Ovis aries: one gene and its partner. Each later gene encodes a partner of the first gene's protein in a complex. Links are inferred from orthologs where the notes say so. Each region holds a gene or a part of one and is shown in the gene's direction. Other genes may lie near its edges. The genes, in order: PLXNA2 and SEMA6A.

Evidence for each region.
Region 2: the proteins of PLXNA2 (region 1) and SEMA6A are in contact, whole or in part, in a crystal structure (PDB 3AL8), measured with the Mus musculus proteins. The link is inferred for Ovis aries from reciprocal best matches to the Homo sapiens genes PLXNA2 and SEMA6A. Residues at the interface, in NP_032908.2 of Mus musculus: Ala93, Cys94, Tyr95, Pro96, Lys155, Gln192, Asp193, Tyr194, Asp220, Phe221, Val222, Pro229, Ser230, Asp231, Leu386, Lys389, Val391, Thr394, Lys395, Ala396, Pro397, Val398, Leu407, Asp408, Ile409, Asn410, Gln411; in NP_061214.2 of Mus musculus: Arg108, Met109, Lys110, Gly111, Met162, Ala163, Thr188, Phe190, Leu191, Ile193, Tyr198, Thr206, Arg208, His212, Asp213, Ser214, Glu219, Gln266, Arg267, Glu270, Lys271, Lys393.

What each region holds. Positions count from the first base shown.
Region 1 is NC_056065.1:74,571,502-74,581,806, forward strand, and holds part of PLXNA2 (plexin-A2), read left to right. Parts: intron 1-6,128; 5' UTR 6,129-6,208; coding exon 6,209-7,396; intron 7,397-10,305. UniProt on the Homo sapiens protein: Coreceptor for SEMA3A and SEMA6A. Necessary for signaling by SEMA6A and class 3 semaphorins and subsequent remodeling of the cytoskeleton. Plays a role in axon guidance, invasive growth and cell migration.
Region 2 is NC_056058.1:35,109,887-35,120,191, forward strand, and holds part of SEMA6A (semaphorin-6A), read left to right. Parts: intron 1-2,175; coding exon 2,176-2,266; intron 2,267-5,846; coding exon 5,847-5,966; intron 5,967-6,664; coding exon 6,665-6,753; intron 6,754-7,622; coding exon 7,623-7,840; intron 7,841-10,305. UniProt on the Homo sapiens protein: Cell surface receptor for PLXNA2 that plays an important role in cell-cell signaling. Required for normal granule cell migration in the developing cerebellum.

The sequences.
Region 1 (10,305 bases):
CACCATCACTGGGCCTCCACCATCAAAAGGCATCTTCTGTGCCCCCAAAACAGGGCAGCCTCGAGGCTAAACGTAACCTGCCCCCGGGACCGCTTCACCCACAGCAGAGGAAGCAGCGGGGCTTTGGTCACAAGATCTGGGTTCTGCTGGCACCTGCCTCCAAGTCACGCTGACGCACCTTTGACGATTTGTTTCCTCTCCATGTGTTTTGGCTTCTTCCTCTGAAAACAGAGAAGTGGGTTGGAGTCATCTTAGAGTTGCCTTCAGCGCCGGCCTGGAATCCCTGCTTTAAAGGCGCCGCTCATTAGGAGGGGCAGCCAAGGAGAGCACAGGCTTCTCCCTGCCCTGGGAGAGGAAAGGGCTTTAGGTGAAGCCCAGGAACAGCTGCTGACTCCTCTGACTTCACAGGCCTCGTTTTCTGTTTGTTTTCAGTTCAGTCGATCAGTCGTGTCCCAACTCTTTGTGACCCCATGGACTGCAGCACACTAGGCTTCCTTGTGCGTTTTGTTTTATTGACGTACAGTTGATTTAATTATAGCTAATATTGTGTTAGTTTCAGGGGTACCGCAGAGTGATTCAGTTATATATATATATATGTTTTTTCAGATTCTTTTCCATTATAGGTTATTATAAGATATTGAATATTGCACCCTGTATATTACAGTAAATCCTATTTTATATATTGTAGTATCTGTTAATCCTATACCCCTAAATTATCCCTGCCCCCTTCTTTTTCCCTTTAGTAGCCATAAATTTGCTTTCTATGTCTGAGTCTGCATCTGTTTTGTATATGGATTCATTTGTATTATTTTTTAGATTCCACATATGTGATATCATTATAATATTTGTCTTTCTCTGTCTTACTTCACTTGGTATGATATTCTCTAGGTCCACCCACGTTGCCGCGAATGGCAATCTTTCAGTTTTTTTATGACTGAGTAATACTCCGTTGTATATGTGCACCGTATCTTCTTTATCCATTCCTCTGTGGATGGACACTGTAGTTGCTTCCAGATCTTGCCTGTTGTAAATAGCGCCCAGCCCCCCTCCTCATACTTACTGTCTGGATTCTGGCTTCTCAGGATCCTGGCTGTGTGAGCCACCTAGTTGGTGCAGTTATAATAATAGACACCTTTACTGTTATTGTGATGAGAAATATAGCCTGGATGATGTTGGTGATGACGGTGCCAGGAGGAGCTGCAGATGGGCCCACGGGTGGGAGCTCTGGCATCAAGAACTTTCACTCAGTTTAGCAAAATTGTATTCCAGTGCTAACTCCTCTTCCTGCCTCCTCTTCTTTCCTTTTGCAATAAGGGAGGCCAATAAAGCATAGAGGTTTGTGCTCCCAGATATCCCGAAAAAGGCAACAGAACGGGTTGTGGGGAGGAGGGAATCCTTCGCTGAGCTGAGCTGGAAATGCTTGTCGTCTCGCCCCTGCTTTGCCCCTGGTGTCTGCAGCATCTGATCGGGAAGGTATTAGGTGCCTCCTCTAGCTGACACCAACACCTGCTTCCTGAGGCCTCATCAGGGAGATGGTTTCACCAGGCCCTCGAAATGAAATATTTAGTGACTCTTGCTTCCCAAAGAGGCGAGTGTGGCCTCCCCTTGGCATCAGTGCTCCGAGCGCTCTGCGGGTCGAGCCGGCATCCCAGGGCGGCGTGTCCTCATTTGAGACTTGGGACGGGGGACAGGGAAGCTGGTAGGAGAACGGCCACTCAGCAGGTGTGGCTCTTGAGAACGCACGTGGCACGGCGACTTCACAAACTAGACAGAGAGAGGAAGAGGGGCAGGAAGGAGGCATCGTGGAGAAAATCCCCGCGGGTGACACTTGGGGTGAGGAGGAAATCCTAGCTCTACAAAGCCACATGCGTATGTTCACTGGCTCCTACCAAATACAAGGATGGATGTTTTATTCTAAGACAGACCATGGGATGGACAGAGATGAAAGGCTGGGGATATTGAGAGATAGATTACTACTGATAAGGCTAAGGTGTCTTGAACATTTATAATGGGCCAAGCGTTGTTCTAAGTTCTTTATGTGAATTAAATGACTTCACCATCATAACCCTATGAGGCAGAAGCTAGTGCCAACCTCATTACATCTAGTGAGACAGCATCAGAGAACAGCTGTGTACCTTGACCAAGTTTACACAGCTATCACCTCTGTTTGAATCCAAGCACCTAAATCCAGAGCTTATGAGTCTCTCCATCACACTACGTGGCATTTCATCGAGGCATAGAGGTGGGTACCCTTCTCCCTTACCCTGAACTCAGACAGGACCAACCAGACCAGACCTTGCCAACCAGACCCTTCTTTGGAAGAGCTACCTGGTAATGTCAGCCTTGGCATTGAAAGACTGGGGCTCTCGACTCACTCTTGAAGCCAGTTTGTCCTTGTGAATTCCAAGGTGAGATGCAAGTGTCCCTCCACCCCTGCACTGCAGGGGACCCCGTCTCCTCTTGACCCTGAGGCCCCAGTGCCTGTGGCTCCTACGTGGACTACCCTTGAGTCCCGTGGAAGGAATCTGTGTGGCTGGTCCCCGGGAGTAGTCTGTCCCAGAGTAGACGCTGATTGAGAAGGAAGGGGAAAACAGTACAATTACTGGTCTGTTGAGACCTCTAGATTTAACCAGCCCTGCCAGGCAGGACAGAAGGACCTCAGCTGTTATTGCAGTTATTGACTCTAGAAGCTGAAAGAAGCAAGTCTCAAGATACCATTTTGTCTGAAGGACGAAATCTTACCAACTGGTTATGACATCCTTTGTTTTAATAGCATTCTTTAAGATCAAATAACATCCTTTATTGGTTAAGAAGTAGGCTCGGGGTGACACTGGAGCAGCCTAAAGCCACACAACTCATGTTGACAGAGGCAGGATTTGGACACAGGTCTCTCTGAGTTCCCCACTCTGCCCCCTTCCCTAGGACTCCTTGCCTTCTGGACACCAGGCCAGTTTTCCCACTCACACTTCAACTCTTGGGATCCTGTACCTCCACCAGGCTCCCTGCAGGCTGCAGAGAGCCGTGCTGGGACTTGTGCAGTAGTGTGCCGGAGACGATCACCTTCAATCTGTTCCCTTTTCTCTGATGCACGCCTTCACCACTCCAGGGAGGGCTGGGGCTCAATGGGCTGCCCGCAGCGTTCATTCCCATGGAAAGGAAGAATATGAGTGAAAAGAGAAGTCAGGAGGTCTGGCAACATTCCTAAAGCACAGCCTCTTGGGGAGGCTTCAATGATAATAATAACTGGTATGAGTTAAGCATTCACTGAGTGCCAGCTCCCATGCTAAGAGGCTTCCCCGCATTATCTCATTTACTCTGATGACAACCCGAGGGGTCGGTACCGTCATTATCCCATCCTACCAGAAAGGAGGATGAGACTGGACTTGCCCAAGGTCCCACATTTCTTCCTGAATTCTGCCTGACAACAGAAGCCATTCACACTTCAAACCATGTCTCTGGAGGATGCCTGGCAGGGCAGTGAGACAGTTCATCTTAACCTCACTTGGTGTCCTCTGGCGTCACCTCTGCTCCTGGGACCGTCTCCCCCCTCCATGGGCTAAGCATGTCTGTGCATGTAAGTTGTGGGGCAGGCAGGAGTTCTCTGCCTGCACACTCAATGCCAGAGTGTCTCAGAAATCCCTGCCCAGAAGGCCAAACCCCAAGTGCATCATGATGGCAACTATAATCCTCTGGCGGGAGGCGGAGGGGGACACACTGCCCTCCACCTGTAGGCAAACGAGCTCTCCTGCCCAGAGAAGGGGCATGCACAGCCCAGCTTCCTGCAGCTCCCTACCCAGATGGAGAATGTGAGGATTCTGTTATTTCCTTTCCGCAGCTTCTCTTGAGGAATTCACGTCCGGCTACCGGCCCCAGGACATAGCTAAAAATAACCTCCGATTTTCAAACCGAAAGCTCTGTCCGTCGGGGAGGCTTTGCCGGTGAGCGCGTGGGGCCGGAAGGGCTGTGTCAGAGCCCCTGAGGTCAGCCCAGGCCTCATGCCGCTGTGCCTTCCTCTTTCCAAGGAAGCCCGGGGCCTGATGAGTCACTCCAGAACAGCATCCCGGTGGAGCCTCCTTGGAGGCGAGCGGTCAGGTGGGGCCCGCCTCTGGCACCATGTGGGCGTCAGGCATGGGAGGCACAGTTGCAGAGGACAGGGGGAGTTTTGAAAGACATGGAGCAGAGAGCACGTGGATCCCGCAGAGGGCATCTATTCGATCCCAGATTCCAGCCCCATGTAGCCAGGTGGGGGATAAATAAAGGGATCCAGGACCCTGATGCTGGGAAAGATTGAAGGTGGGAGAAGAAGGGGACGACAGAGGATGAGATGGTTGGATGGCATCACCAACTCAATGGACATGAGTTTGAGTAAACTCAGGGAGTTGATGATGGACAGGGAGGCCTGGTGTGCTGCAGTTCATGGGGTCACAAAGAGTCGGACACGACTGAGCGGCTGACCTGAACTGAACTGGACTCTCCTAGGCTGCCTTGGTACAGAGAAGGCAATGGCACCCTACTCCAGTACTCTTGCCTGGAAAATCCCATGGACGGAGGAGCCTGGTGGACTGCAGTCCATGGGGTCGCTAGGAGTTGGGCACGACTGAGCGACTTCACTTTCACTTTTCACTTTCATGCATTGGAGAAGGAAATGGCAACCCACTCCAGTGTTCTTGCCTGGAGAATCCCAGGGACGGTGGAGCCTGGTGGGCTGCTGTCTGTGGGGTCGCGCAGAGTTGGACACGACTGAAGCGCCTCAGCAGCAGCAGCAGGCCGCCTTGGAGCACGTGCTCCATCCTGGGCGTGAGCCTTTCCACGCTGCCTCATTACCCGGACTTCTGTCTGGACTTGTCCAAGAAGGTTGCCGGCCAGTCTGTCCAGCCGGGAGAAAAGATTTCTCCGCTAGAGCCACCACTGTCCCCACCTCCCCCATAAAAGTCAGGAGCAGGCAGAGTGATGAGAAGGCTCCACCGTCTGTCCCCTGCCCACCACTCTCTGAAGGTCTGCAGGAGCCCCCCCTTGCCCCTCTGGGCAAGCTTTCCTGGAATAGTAGGAAAAGCTGCAGAACCTGGGGCTCGGGAGGGAAGGGAGGGAGCAGGGACGTCAGGGCAGGGGACTGACCGGCGGGGGCGGGCAGCCTGAGGTTGACCGTGCGGAGCCTTAAACCATCACGGGGCCCTAGCAGTGGCTGCCGTGCGACTGACCTTCAACTCACTTCCCTTGGCTCCTCCCCATGCCTCCCAAACCCAGAACTCTCGCCCAGGCGGCTGAGGCTGGACTCAGCCAGCCAGTCCCCACGAGTAAGGTGGCCGGCTCCACGCTGGACTCCACCTGCAAAGGAGGCCACAGGGTCCCTGCTTACCGGGGAGGCAGTGGCTGACATCCTCCCGACCCAAAGAGGAAGGGTGGGTGGTTGTCTGCCCTTTCCCCGGGGACTCTTTAGGCTCCTGAATAGCACCCACGTGGGCCCCGGGCCTAGCTCACTCTCAGAACAAGTGTTCCGTGCTAACACTGCAGGATTCTCTCTAGAGAGCACCAGGCTGAAGGGCAGTGAGAGGCAATGTTAGATGACCAGCTCCCCTCCTTCCTTCCCTGTGGGGGACGGAGCATGAAAGAGGAAACCAGCAGTGCGAGGGGGTGGACGGCTGAAATAAGAAGGAATGTTATTTGGGACACCAGATTCGGAAGGGAGAGCCTGGGAGAGGGCCTCCCTAACCACTGGTGTTTCACAGGCTGGAGCGTTTTCCACTGGACTGGGAGCGAGCAGGAGGAACCTGGCAACTGGGTGGGAAGACTGGCCTTAGTCCCCACACTGGGATCCACTGGCTGCGGGGACTCGGTCTGTTAACCTCTCTGAGCGGTAAAAACGATCTCTGAAGAGGACAGAAATAGAGATGCTTTGTAAAGTTTTAAAAAAAAAAAAAAGCATTTTACAGTGTCAAAGCTGGAGACCAAAATAGATAATAGGATTCCCTGAACATCCCGAAGAGGGAGAATGTATGTTAAAAATAGAAAAACCCAAATACAGAAGGAAGAGGCTCACAGAGCTAGCAGGCGCTGGGACCTGGGTCAAGCAAGCCGGTTCTCCAGGGATTTGTTTTCTGTCTGACCGCTCTGCCTCTTGTGTTTTGCAGAACCATGTGAGGGCCAGGCCGGGGAGGCGGAGTTCGCAAGAGATCGGAGGCCCTGTGTCCTGGCCCTCGGCCGGCTCAGGATGGAACAGAGGAGGCCCGGGCCGCGGGCGGCAGACGGGGACGGCTGGCCTGTGGTCCTGCTCTCGGCCGTCTGCGTGCTGCTGGCGCCGCGGGCGGCCAGCGCGCCCCAGTTCAGCACCTTCCACTCGGAAAACCGCGACTGGACCTTCAACCACCTCACGGTGCACCGCGGGACCGGGGCGGTGTACGTGGGCGCCATCAACCGCGTGTACAAGCTGACGGGCAACCTGACCATCCAGGTGGCTCACAAGACGGGCCCGGAGGAGGACAACAAGTCCTGCTACCCGCCGCTGATCGTGCAGCCCTGCGGCGAGGTGCTCACGCTGACCAACAACGTCAACAAGCTGCTCATCATCGACTACTCGGAGAACCGGCTGCTGGCCTGCGGCAGCCTGTACCAGGGCGTGTGCAAGCTGCTGCGGCTCGACGACCTCTTCATCCTGGTGGAGCCGTCCCACAAGAAGGAGCACTACCTGTCCAGCGTCAACAAGACGGGCACGATGTACGGGGTGATCGTGCGCTCCGAGGGCGAGGACGGCAAGCTCTTCATCGGCACGGCCGTGGACGGCAAGCAGGACTACTTCCCCACGCTGTCCAGCCGCAAGCTGCCGCGCGACCCCGAGTCCTCCGCCATGCTCGACTACGAGCTGCACAGCGACTTCGTCTCCTCGCTCATCAAGATCCCCTCCGACACCCTGGCCCTGGTGGCCCACTTCGACATCTTCTACATCTACGGCTTCGCCAGCGGGGGCTTCGTCTACTTCCTGACGGTCCAGCCCGAGACCCCCGAGGGCGTGGCCATCAACTCGGCCGGGGACCTCTTCTACACCTCGCGCATCGTGCGGCTCTGCAAGGACGACCCCAAGTTCCACTCCTACGTGTCCCTGCCTTTCGGCTGCACGCGGGCCGGGGTGGAATACCGCCTCCTGCAGGCCGCCTACCTCGCCAAGCCCGGGGACGCGCTGGCGCGGGCCTTCAACATCAGCGGCCAGGACGACGTGCTCTTCGCCATCTTCTCCAAAGGGCAGAAGCAGTACCACCAGCCGCCGGATGACTCCGCCCTCTGCGCCTTCCCCATCCGCGCAGTCAACCTGCAGATCAAGGAGCGCCTGCAGTCCTGCTACCAGGGCGAGGGCAACCTGGAGCTCAACTGGCTGCTGGGGAAGGACGTGCAGTGCACCAAGGCGGTAAGGAGGGCGCCCCCGGCACACACCCCGCTCAGGACACGCCTGCCCCCAGACCCCCTGCAGGAGGAAATGGCAGCCGGCTCCAGTATTCTCGCCGGCAAAACCCCACGGACAGAGGAGCCTGGCAGGGCTACCGTCCGTGGGGTTGCAAAGAGTCAGACATGACTTTGCTACTGGACAACCCAGACCGTCGCAGCCTGCAGTGAGGGAGGTGGCAGGCTCATGCGCTTGAGCTACGTTTGTTGATCCTGCGGAGTCATTCCGCATATATCCCATCCAGTGTCCTAAGCGCTGCCGGCTTCAGCCTTGAACCCTACCACATCACGACCTGCCCTCATGGAGCTTTTGGGTGTGTGTCCACGACTTTTGCTCAGTCGTGTCCGACTCTTTGCGAACCATGGACTGCAGCCCGCCAGGCTCCTCTGTCCGTGGGGATTCTGGAAGCAAGAATACTGAAGTGGGTTGCCATGCCCTCCTCCAGGGGATCTTCCCAACCCAGGGATCGAACCTGGGTCTCCCGTGCTGCAGGCAGATTCTGTAACGTCTGAGCCACTAGAGAAAGCCCCTTACTCACTTCGTTAGTGAGGCAAGACATAGAAATACATAAAACGGGTAGTCTCTCCAGTGATGACAGTTGCTGTAGAGAGAAAATAAAGCAGGGAATGGGGGAGAGGCAGGACCCAAGAGGATTGTTTCATTGAGAAAGCAGCATCTGAGCAAAGAATGAGGAAGAGCCAGCTGTGTGGGTATCTGGGGAGAGCGTTCGAGAGAGTGGGCGGGAACAGCAGTGCAGAGAATGCCGGTCGTGAGGAAGAGCGAGGCGGCCACTGCAGCTGGACCTCGGCATGCGGCAGAAATTGTGGCTGGAGAGGAGGCCGGTCAGGGGTAACAGGGACCACGTCTTGCCCACGCAGGGCCCTGCCGGCCACAGTGAGGGGTAAAGGAGGCAGGCAGGTATGGAGGCTGGAGGAGCTGGAGGAGGGCAAAGGGGGTCAAGCGTGACTGATAGGTTGAAAGCTAGGGAAGAAGAACCAGGCGTCCCCGCAGAGGGAAAGGAGGGGAGGAAGGGGAGTTCAGAGTCCAGACCTGACGGTGGAAGAGACGAGGAGGTCGGTGGCGAGCCCTGTCCTGTGAGAGGATCAGAAGGCCGCCATCTCGGTGGTCACCACGATCCATCAGTCTGTCCATCCATCCGTCATGTCATCCATCTATCCACCCCTCCATTCTTCCCTTTATCCCTCCCTCCATCCATCCATTCAGCCAGAGGGTATCAAAGATCTCTCGAGTGCCCAGCACCGTACTAGGCACTGGGAATGCAGACATAAAAAAGACATGATCGTTACTCTCCAAGGTATCATAATCCAATGGGCAAGAGAGTGAGAGATAAAAATAGCAAGCAGCGTCATGTAATGCTGAAGAGTTTGGCATTCAGAGTTTAGATTCCATCTGTGCTACTTCCTGGCTTCAGAAGTAGCTTAGTGTGTCTACATGATCATCTGTGAGGTGGGACTCATAATGCCTACTTCACGGGATGATCAGATGTGGCGTGTTAGGTTGGCCATGATTAGTTAACTGTTATGCAGTGTGACAAATTCTAAGATGGATTTCTGTGCAAAGTCCTGTGGACACACGATCTGCAGCCTGGGGATCAATGTGACACCAAGTGACCCGTATGGCTGCCTTTTGAAACCCCTAAAGAGGGAGTGTCTGCTACTGGGACCAAAAGCCACTTCTTAAAGCAAGAAAAAAAAAAATCACACGTAGACGATGCTTCTGTTCTGCTGTCAGTTTCTTGGTCCAGTAGAACAGTAGTTAAGGCCATAGGCCTGGAGTTCCAACAGATTTGTGTTTAAAGGTCAGTCCTACCGCTCGTGTGACTTTGGGCAAGTTACGTACCTGATCTGAGTTGTATTTTTATTTTAACAATAGAAATAGCAAGTCTGTTTTTATGAGGATTACATAGAAAAAGTATGTATTAGTACAATACTTGGCACATAGCATCTAATAAATGACAGATATATATTAATTAAAGAACCATTCATTTCTTGTTATTTTACCTTTATACAATGAGGAGGTTGAGCTAGATAGTTTCCAAAGTTCTTTACAGCCCTGAAACTCTATAACCTATGGCCCCAGTGAATTGAGAAAGTAACATTGAGATATATACATTGCCATGTATAAAATAGACAGCTAGTGAGAAGGTGCTGTATAACCCAGGGAGCTCAGCCCAGTGCCCTGCGATGACTTGGATGTGGGGAGAGATGCTCCTGAGGGCAGGTATATATGTATACTTGTGGCTGATTCACGTTGTTGTACAGCAGACATCAACCCAGTATTGAAAGCAATTATCCTCCAATTAAAAATAAATTTGAAAGATAATAAAACAAAAATACAGATTGACAACCGAAAAAAAAAGAATGGCCTTCAGTCAGCACAGCAGGCTGCCCACCACAGTTTTGTTAAATGAATAAATAAAATTCCCTCAAGCACTTAAAAAAAAAAGAGAGAGAAGAGGAAAGGGAATGAAAGGGTTAACGGCTTGCAGAGTCTGTCCCAGTTCCCACTGCCCAGAGGGGGCCTTGTCAGGAGGAAACTGCTGATTCCTGCCTGCTTCTGAGCCAGAGGAAGGAGGAAGAGCCCACACCCTCGCGGGACTCCCCTGTCTGCAGAGACAAGCCCGGGCTAGTAAGCAAAGGGCCACAAAGGCGGGGGACAGCAGGTGGGCTAGGGCTCGGAAGGAAGAGCCGCACACTAACCATGCCCACCCTGAGCATCAGACTCTGCTGGGGCTGCCTGGATAGCTGGGGTGGGTGGGGGGCAACAGGAAGGTCCCCTTACCATCCTTAGAGTCCCAGACCTGGGCACCCAGAGGCATTCCAGTGGCCTCAAAGGGGGTTAAGGGTGAGTGA
Region 2 (10,305 bases), on another chromosome or scaffold:
CACTGTATAGCGGGTATCGCTCTGAATACTTGTCACAGACTGCAAAGTCTGTCGCAGTTAAACAAGAAGCTCTTGTTGGGATAAAATATTAGGAAAAGACTTTCATAAAAATGTGCCAGGGAAGAGTACATTTGCTTTAAAGGGTGTCTAACTTGAACATCTTTCTCCTAAAAATGTATTTCTAACACAACTGCTTTATGTGATTCTCAGCCACAGTTTAAACAAGCATTATGGCTTTGATGGGGGAGATCCCAAAGTGGCTGCACACAGAAAAGGCCTGTCCTATCCTTGAAAAGTTTCTGTGGGTTGAGGGCAAAGGGCACAAATGACTGGACTATACTAGCGACTGCTCAGTAAGGATCTCACTCTTTCCTCCTGGGCAGCAACTCCAGGCTCCTCGATTCAGGCACTTCGATTTTAATGCTAAAGAGCATTTCACAGATCCTTCCTTAGTGCTGTCTTGGGTTTGTCTTCTTTCCGTTTTCCAGATGATAAACAAAACACCCTAAAACCATAAAGAAGACTGAAATACAGAGGAGTCAGAACATTAGCACTGTGGAAGATATCACTGTTTGGTCTCTGTGATGCTGAGACTTAAATGCTAGGAAGCTCTCATGGTGTCAGGAAGGGAGGGTGGGAGGAACCCCTGAATTATTGGTCTAGATGCACTGACAGTTGGCTGATCAACAGAGGTTCATTTCCTGCTCACATCACAGTCAAGTGTGGGTCAGTCAGTGAGTTTCTATTCTGAGAGGTTAAAAGCCGGCTCTGTCCTGCTTATATGTCTGCCATCTCTTGCGATCTCCTAGGATCTTGGAATTCTCCACTGGATCCTCTCTAGGATCCAGTGAAGAAGATGGAAAGAGAAGGGAAGAGTGTGGAAAGAGAACAAGAGTGGAGGATCTGGGGAGGTTTTCAGGGGCAAGACCTAGAGGTGGGGCAGAGCCTTATACTCACACCCCATTGGCCAGAGCTCAGTCATGTGATCATACCTGACTGCAAGGGAGGATGGGAAATGTAGTTTAGTGTGATATGGAGGAAAGGGAAATGAATTTGTTGAACAGCTAGTAAGGCTTTGCCTCACCTGCAAATGCCTGTGAGCCAGGCGGGTAACTTGTAAGAGTGAAGCAAGCAGCATGTCAATACAATCTATGGGTCAAGGGGTCTTGGTGCTAGAGACTATATAAGCAAGCAGCATGTCAATACAATCTATGGGTCAAGGGGTCTTGGTGCTAGAGACTATATGCCGATCTGAAGAAAATGGCAGGGGTGGCCATTACTCAACTATAGCTTGCTGCCCCTTGGCTAAGAAGGGCCGGAATTGACTTACCCACATGTTCAAAAGATGCAAGAAATCCAAGTTTTCATATGCAGTCTGCCTTTTTAAGAGAGAGTTAGTTTTCCTTTTTCTTTTTCTAAACATACTCAGATGACCAAAGAGGCAGGCTAGTAATAACCTCTAGGGTACAGGAACAAGCCTGGGTTGGGCAGGAGGAGATGGGAGTCAAGTTGCAACCACACTGCTCATATCTGGGGCCCATGGGAGCCTCTCAGCTTCTGGGCCACTCTTTCTCATCTACATAATCTGAAGATCAGACATGTTTCTGAAGTAGGTGCAAAGGCCACCTGAGCTCTGCTTGCATCTGTGTTTTCGTTCATGCTTGCTGATGCCATACTATTCTCGCAGGTAACCTGAGAAAGAATTCCAGGGTCTTCTCCTAGAATTTAACCCACAAAGGCAAGACTCCTCTGGCAAAACAAAACAAAAACTGGGGTCATTCTCTGTAGAGTTCATGACTTAGCAGATAATTCTAGGGGATGGGGGAATATGTTTTCCTGGTGAATACCTCAGAAATCCCTTTTCCAAGGAGAAAGATGCTTATTTCTCTAGCATTCCAGGAGGATATGGGAATCTCTTTATTGTCATGGTTCTGAGTCAAGCAGACATGACTGATTCTTCTGACTCTCCTAGCTACAGAATCTTGGTCAAGTGACTTAATCTCTCTCAACGTCAGCGTCCCCATCTGAAACCAAAAGACTTAACCTTAGAGGGTATTTGACTATTATTTGCACCAGGCATATAAATTGCTCAAAAAGTTAAGTGCTCTGTAAATATTAGTTGCTGTTATTATCTGTCGGTTGCTGTGCCTAACTTAGTCCTATCATTTCATTTAGATGGATACTTTGGAACCTGTGGGTGATGAATTTAGCGGAATGGCCAGATGCCCTTACGATGCCAAACATGCCAATACTGCACTGTTCGCAGGTAAATGACCTGATTTCCTGATTTCTCCTCATTGCCTTTGTTTTCGTGGGCTCAGCCTGTGGCCCTGCAGGATTTGCAGAGTCACAGTTGTACTTTGATTCTCTGGTGACTACTGTAACTAGGAATGCCTTTTCCATTGGAAATCATATGGAAATTGTACTTTTGTTTTTTTGTTGTTGTTCGGTCACTCAGTTGTGTCCGACTCTTTGCGAACCTATGGACTGCAACACACCAGGCTTCCCTGTCCTTCACTATCTCCTGGAGTTTGCGCAAACTCATGTCCATTGAGTCAGTGATGCCATCCAACCATCTCATCCTCTGTCATCCCCTTTTTCCTCCTGCCTTCAATCTTTCCCAGCATCGGGGTCATTTCCAATGAGTTGGCTCTTCACATCAAGTGGGAAAGTATTAGAGCTTCAGCTTGAGCATCAGTCCTTCCAATGAATATTCAGGGTAGATTCCTTTAGGATTGACTGGTTTGATCTCCTTGCTTTTTTTTTTCTCCTCTCCTCGCTTCTTAAGACAAGTCTTTGCCATGCTTACCCATGCTTCTCTGCCTTCAGAAAGAGTAACAACTTTGCACTGAACATGCTGCATACTGGTTAGGGCGCGTCTGGGCTGAAGTAACAGAAAATCCCACCTCTAACCCCCAGTGTGAACTGAGTATTTAAGGTGGGGTAGACTTTGAGGTGCTTTGATTCAACAACTCATTCATCTCATCCAGGACGTAGGTCCTTTTCATTTCTCTGCTCAGTTTTCTTTCTTTCTCTGAGGGAGACTGGCCGTTCTCACAGTCATAGGATGGCTGTTGGGTCTCAATTAGGGCTACATGTCCTTTGGTCTGGGCTTCTCAGGTGGAACTAGTGGTAAAGAACTCACATGCCGTGGGTTTGATCCCTGGGTTTTGAAGGTTCCCCTGGAGGAGGGCATGGCAACTGACTCCAGTATTCCAGCCTGGAGAATCTGCTGGACAGAGGAGCCTGGCAGGCTACAGTCCATAAGGTTGCATAGAGTCGGACGTGACTGAAGCAACTTAGCACATACACACATCCCCTTGTCTACATGTAGAAGGGAGAAGGAAAGAGACGAAAGGAAGCTTCTGTAAGCTTTCTCGGTTACCAGCACATCTTCTCAAATATCATGACCTCATGAGCTTACCTGCCTGTCTCTGATAGAACTATAGTGCCCGAAGGGATGCTGCTGATGATCAAAGGTTGACCAACACTCCCCATTGCTGCTCCTTCCTTCCATTGCAAAGGATATAGAATGAAAGCAAATAAGCCATGACTTTCAGATGGGGGTTTTTGTGTATGTGTGTGGGTGTTTTATTGATAATTAGAAATTTATTTAGGAATTCATTGCCAGCTGTGCTCACTGAGGTGGGTGTAGGGAGAAGTATTGGTATAGGAGCTCCTCCAAAGGTAGAGCATTCCTAGCAAGCAGCCTTGTAAGTCAGGTAAACCTATTTGTAAGCATGGGTAGGGACAAGGCCACTGGAAAGAGTGCTTGAGGATTATATTCTTAAGTGCCTAACTTCTACTGCAGCACTTTTCTGACACGTGGAACCTGCATTAGGAATAGAGCAATGGAGGTTGTGGACTGCAGTGGAGAATGTAAATTTAATAAGGAAAAAGAGGCAGCCCAAGGTAGAAAGAGGAGAATGAGCAGAGTGCTTTCCGAGGCCACCAACCTTCCAAGAGCAAGCCCCATGAAACCATCTTGTGGCTGCCGCTCCTCCTCCCCAGAAGGTGTATCTGAATCCATGTCCACTGAAATGCTTGAAAGCTCTTAAAACTTCCACCATTATAAACAGAGGATACTTGTTGCCCCTGAATAGTTGTCGTATTACCAAAAGTGACAAAATAGTACTCTATTTTACGAGTAAAAGTTCTGGCAAGATATCCAGTTTAAAATGTAAGACAAAGAGTATGGAGGTGTGTTCAACAGCAGTAACACACACACACTCACACACACACACAGCTCACACACACACACACACACACCCCACTGTCCTCTCCTCCTCAGGTATATCCATATGATCCAGAACTATGATTCTGTAAGAAAAATTGTGATTTTTGCAAACTCATGTGTATCAATAGAAAGGTTTGCCATCTGCAGCCAAAATCTAACCCAGAAGGTCAACACGTACAGATACATGACTGTTAGTAATGTAGATATGAAGACAGCTCTACCTGAAACAGCAGATACCAGTTAAGACCAAAGAAAGTGAAAGTGAAAGAAAGTGAAGTCGCTCAGTGGTGTCTGACTCTTTGCGGTCCCATGGACTGTAGTCTACCAGGCTTCTCTGTCCATGGGATTTTCCAGGCAAGAGTACTGGAGTGGGGTGCCATTTTCTTCTCCAGGGGATCTTCCTGACCCAGGGATTGAACCCAGGTCTCTGGCATTGCAGGCAGACACTTTACCCTCTGAGCCACCAGGGACCAAAAGTAGACCTCAAAGACTTTGCTTTGGTATGTTTATTTAAAACAGAACCATATGCTTATCCCACGAGGGCTAGAGCTTAAAGAGAACTGTGATGTATATAAACCACTTCTGAAGATGCTCTGGGAACCACAATTAATGAAGACAGGTAACCCATTAAAGCTGAGACAAGGAAGCTATTTTTTATATTGAATATAATTATTGTTTCCATTTCATCTACACAGATTTTACTATTCCAGAACAGCCCATTTGATTATCTGTGTAAAGAATGCTTGCTAATCCAAGAAAAGAACCACAGATTTTAAGGATTCATCTTTAATCATCTTGTCTCTCTTTTGCCTTGGATGTATCCTCAAGCAGAAGTCTCAAAGAGCATGAATTCTTAAAGAAAAGTCCAGTTTGAACTCAGCATCATCCCTTCCCCCTCTTTATTTTGGCTTTTTGTATATCAGAATGTTCTCAGTTTGAGACTTTGGAAATACTGAAACAAGTATCTCTTAAATGGAAAGCTAGATCAGTAGAACTTAGTGGCTCTCCTGATTGAGGTAAAGAGGAGCAGAGACTCAAAAAGGATACATATACCAATCTTCTTTTTTTTCTTTTTTTTTAATCGGAGTATGATTACATGTAGCAATTTTAGTCAGTTCTTTTTTGCTTACAAATCCTCTTTCTTCAACGTCCCTCACTTGCTTAGGCTGCGGACTTTCTTACTTCTGCTTGTACTTAAATTTTTCTGGTGATACAATCAGCCTCTATCTTTCCCGGGGCTCCTACCTAATCCAGTTTACCATGGTATGGTGGTGGCTGGAGTGTCCAAGCGGCCTTGGCCTTGAGATTTCAGTCAAGGTCCATCTAATGGAGTGAAGCAAACAACATTTTTCATTTACCCTGTTCCCTGAGCTGCTGCTGCTTAGAAATTGCCGTGCAATTTAAAAATGAAAAATGTTTCATCTCTTGTGATCCCAATTTAAAATGGTTAGGAATGTGGGTCAAGTATTTTCCTACAACTCTTGGATTTGTCCCAGTTGTCCTATCGTATTTGCCTGATTTAGGAAAGCCAGGTGGGGATGTCTCTGTTATTCCCCCATGCCCACCATCTTGCTCCAACCCTATTCTCCTCTCCTCTTTCTCTTCAAAGATGGAAAACTGTACTCTGCTACAGTCACAGACTTCCTTGCCATTGATGCAGTCATCTACCGGAGTCTTGGAGACAGCCCAACCCTACGGACCGTCAAGCATGATTCAAAATGGTTAAAAGGTGAACAAACAATTAAAAAAAGAAAGGAGGTGTGGTGGGGGAGATATATATCTTGAAGGAGATTTAGCGTCTGAATGGTCCAGATTGTAGTTTCACTTTAGTAATGGCTTCTCACGGACAGGAAGGTGGAAATTGCATCTCTTGCCCCGAGTTGATTTATTACCTCCCCTTTTCACGTCCCATGAGTTTCTGGAGTATTATCAAAACTACCAACACCACTATAATAGAATACATCACATTCATCTTTCCTGCTTCAGGCTCTCATTTCAAAGTCCCACACGAAACCAACTAAACAAAACACTTCATTCATAGAAGGGAACGGGGAATTCGAGGTGGTGGGGGACAGGAAAAAAGCAGTTCACAACCCGAATGAGTCAAGGTTGACAAGGCAATGTGTACAAAATCTATTCTGTAATATGAGCCTTGTATTATAGAAAATAAAATTACAGAGATACGCAAAACTCATTTATTCTTCATTGTTCATTGCAACTGCTTCTGAAAGATTAAATCTGTAGGCTTAAATGCTTTTGGAAATCATTAAGCACGTGCATGTGTAAAGTCACTAGAAACGGTTAGTGTTAACCAAATGTCTAATGGCCCTACAATTTTATTTCATAATATGTCTTTGGTTGCAACTGACTGCAGTTCTTTTAACTCTGTGTGACACGCCCCCAATTAAAGTGCCCATTTGTCCACAGAACCGTATTTTGTCCAAGCGGTAGATTATGGAGACTACATCTACTTCTTCTTCAGGGAAATAGCGGTGGAGTACAACAGCATGGGAAAGGTAAGAGGGGAGGATGTCTTAATGTGCGGCCAATGTGGTTATGAATGGCTTTGAAATAAAACCATAAATCTAAGGACAAGGTTATCATTTTGAGAAGACCCAGCAAAGACTGGTGGAAGTGAAACATTTTGCTTCCTTGAACCCCTATATGCTTTTTCTGATTAGTAACAGAATACAGGGAAACCTCTTAAATACATTGAAAACTTAATGAACAGATGAGTTTCAAGTATCTTAAGAAAGATGTGGTTTCCAGGTCTCAGGTCTACTCATCAAGTTTTTTTTTTTGTTTGTTTTGATTTGTTTTAAACTAAGCTGCTCTACAGAGAGAAAGTAACTATTCAATACCTATAAGCAAACCCAGGGTCTTGACTGTATTCATTGCAAAAAGCAATAGAAGACTTAGGGGATGTCTATTTTGATTGTTTTTACCAGAGAGTGGATCAAGACCACTGAGTTGGAGGGCACAAATTCAATACCAGGGTGGCTTGCACAGTTAGAGGAATTCAGAGCATGAGAGGCAGAGCCCAGAGGCAGCCAGGGAGGATGGCAGAGATGGCGCATACAAAGTACGCTTTTGTTTGAGGAAATAAAAAGCTAAGCAGTCTGTATGGAAATGAGTGTATGTGCCTGGGAGCTGATCCCCTGAAGGATTTATAGTTCTGTATTAAATGCCACAGCCTTATCTTTCAAAACATGCTGTTCCAATGCTGAGATTTTCCCTTTTTTTTTTTTTGCCACTGATTTTAGAAACACAGGATTAAATGAAGCATCTTGTTGTTCTGTTTTTATTTTTCTAAGAAAGGTAAATTCTACCAAGATCTCCATGAAGAGTAAGTGCATTTCATCTTCTCCGTGTTTTCCCTCTGCAGGTAGTTTTCCCAAGGGTGGCTCAGGTTTGTAAGAACGACATGGGAGGGTCTCAGAGAGTGCTGGAGAAGCAGTGGACGTCTTTCCTGAAGGCTCGCCTCAATTGCTCCGTCCCCGGGGACTCCCATTTTTATTTCAACATCCTGCAGGCAGTTACCGACGTGATTCGTATTCACGGCCGTGATGTTGTCCTGGCAACCTTCTCCACACCTTATAACAGGTAACCATGCCCTGGCGGTGCGGACTTCATCGCTCCTTCCCGGCTTCCTTTTCCCAAGGGGTTCTTGTCTAATACACAAGATTTGCAACCGATGGAAACACTGCCATTCGCTATTTGTAACTAACAAGCACTTAACACTCAGTTTTCATCCACAAATGAACTGTCAGTATAAGTGCTGTTAGAGAATTTTGGAGAAAGTAATGAGATAAATTATTCCAATATCTTTTCAGATGTCTGGGATAGAAATACTATTCATGTGTTATTTCTCGATCCCTCTAGTTATCTTGAAAAGTGAATACCGTTGCCTTCTTTTTACACTTGAGGAAACCAAGTTCAATTATATTCTGATCCAGGTAGTCCACAGATAGAAGCAGCAGCTTTGGCATTCCAGAATGTTCCTCTTTTCTAGGTCACCTAACATTTTATTTGACTTTTAATATTTCTATGACTAGATCAGTAATTTTTGAAAAATACTGGATATGTATTAAAATGCTACAGGGTGAAATTTAGGAAGCAGATGAGTCCATCTTGCATCCCACCTGGCTATCATCCTGTCAGAGGAACCAGAATCCCAACCACAGCACCATTGTCTGAGTCTGGGGGCGTTTATTGAGGATTTAGGTTTCCCTGGTGGTTCAGTACTAAAGAATCCACTGCAATGCAAGAGATGCAGGTTTAACCCCTAGGCCTGGAAGATCCCTTGGAGAAAGAAATGGCAACCCACTCCAGTATTCTTGCCTGGGAAATCCCATGGACAGAGGAGCCTAGCGGCCTACAGTCCATGGGGTCACAAGAGTTGGACATGACTGAGCGACACCACCACCACCTCCACTGAGGATTTACAAGTCATCAAACATTGTCCTGAGAAATACTGAGTCTCAGCCCATTCATTCCTATTTTGTATTTATTTAAGCTAAGACACTGAGCTATTAAATGGCACACTAAAAACTGTCCCTGGAGCAGTGGACACGTGGAGACTAAAGAATAGAGGAAGAGGGACACTATGTTCCTGGCACTCGGCTCTGCCAGACCTCGGAGTCCTAGCACCGTCCTGTGCAAATGATCTCCACTCCGGCGGCGGCCAAGAAATTGAGTGCACGTACTAGACTGTGTACAATTCTGCCTGTTCTCTCTGATCTTCTGCTAGGAATCCACTGTCTTGTTTTGGATTATACTTTTTACAAAGACTTTGAAGAACCTGATGAAAGGCTAGATGACAGGAACCAACCTGATGAGACTGGAGGACAACAGCTAGGAAAAAATGCCTAAGAACTGGGTCAAGTCTAAACAGAGCAAGCTGAAAGATGAAATAACGTTCCTCAGTTATACAGAGGGCAAGAGTCAAGAGTGCCCCACTGAAGACGTAAGAAAACATAAACCTGTATTGCAGCAAGTATTTAGTTAGGTTTAAGTAAGTTGTGACCATCCGAAGGAATTTTGAGACTTGAGAATAGGAAAGATGTAAAAATTCAGGCCTTGACTGCTTGTACTTTGGAACCCATGTATCTAGCAGTGTTGAAAAAGAAGACTGTTCTGGAACATAGGAATGTAAGTGCCAATGGAATTTCAGAGCACATTTCTAAATTTTTTTAAATGTTTTTTGAGAAAATGAGTTTGTGATTACACCAAAGTAGGAGATTCCAAGAGTACTGGAGTGGGGTGCCATTGCCTTCTCCGAAATATTACACATACTCCATTTAAAGAATTTTCTTTAAAGGTCCCTAGGAGACATTCAATAAGTGCCTACTAATGCAGTCTCAGAAACTGTATTTGGTCAGTAAGATCAGAAAATGGCAAAAGTATGCAGGCCAGTCTTCATCTACAAATGACAGTCCCTCTCTGATCACTCCCTCTGGTTTCATCCCTTTCCACCCCATTCTCCACACATTCCCACTCCATCATGCCAGGCTGTCTCAAATCCTTTAGGGGCTCCTCTTGCCCTGAAGATAAAGCCCAGCTCCCTTGTTGGCATGGCATGGAAGCCCATCGTGGTCAGGTGTCAGCTCCTCCTCCAGTGCAGAGGGTTGACTGAACCGCTCATGCCCTGCTGTCTTGCCCAGTTTGCTCCCCCAACCTATCTGCTTGCCCACTGAGCCCCTGGGCATACTCCAAGGCTCAGTTCCAGTCACATCCCCTGGAACTCTGCACGTGCCTTTCATATATACTGCCTTTACCAGATGGTCTTGGAAAAGTTGTTGTTGTTATTATTATCACTGCTGTTGTTGCTTGCCGCCACACTGAATTATCAATCAGCTGAGAGCATGATTTGTTATTTACTAAGCATTCACGGCTTGAGATTGGGGATTCCATAAATATATGTTGAATGAACAGAAGATGGGAATAAAAGGAGGGGATAAAGTAGGGAAGAAAAAAGAAAGGATTTTACACATGATTCTAACATTAGGAAGATTACAAACCCTACGGTATCTTTAGCAATTATGAAGTCCCTCATAAAATACTTCAAA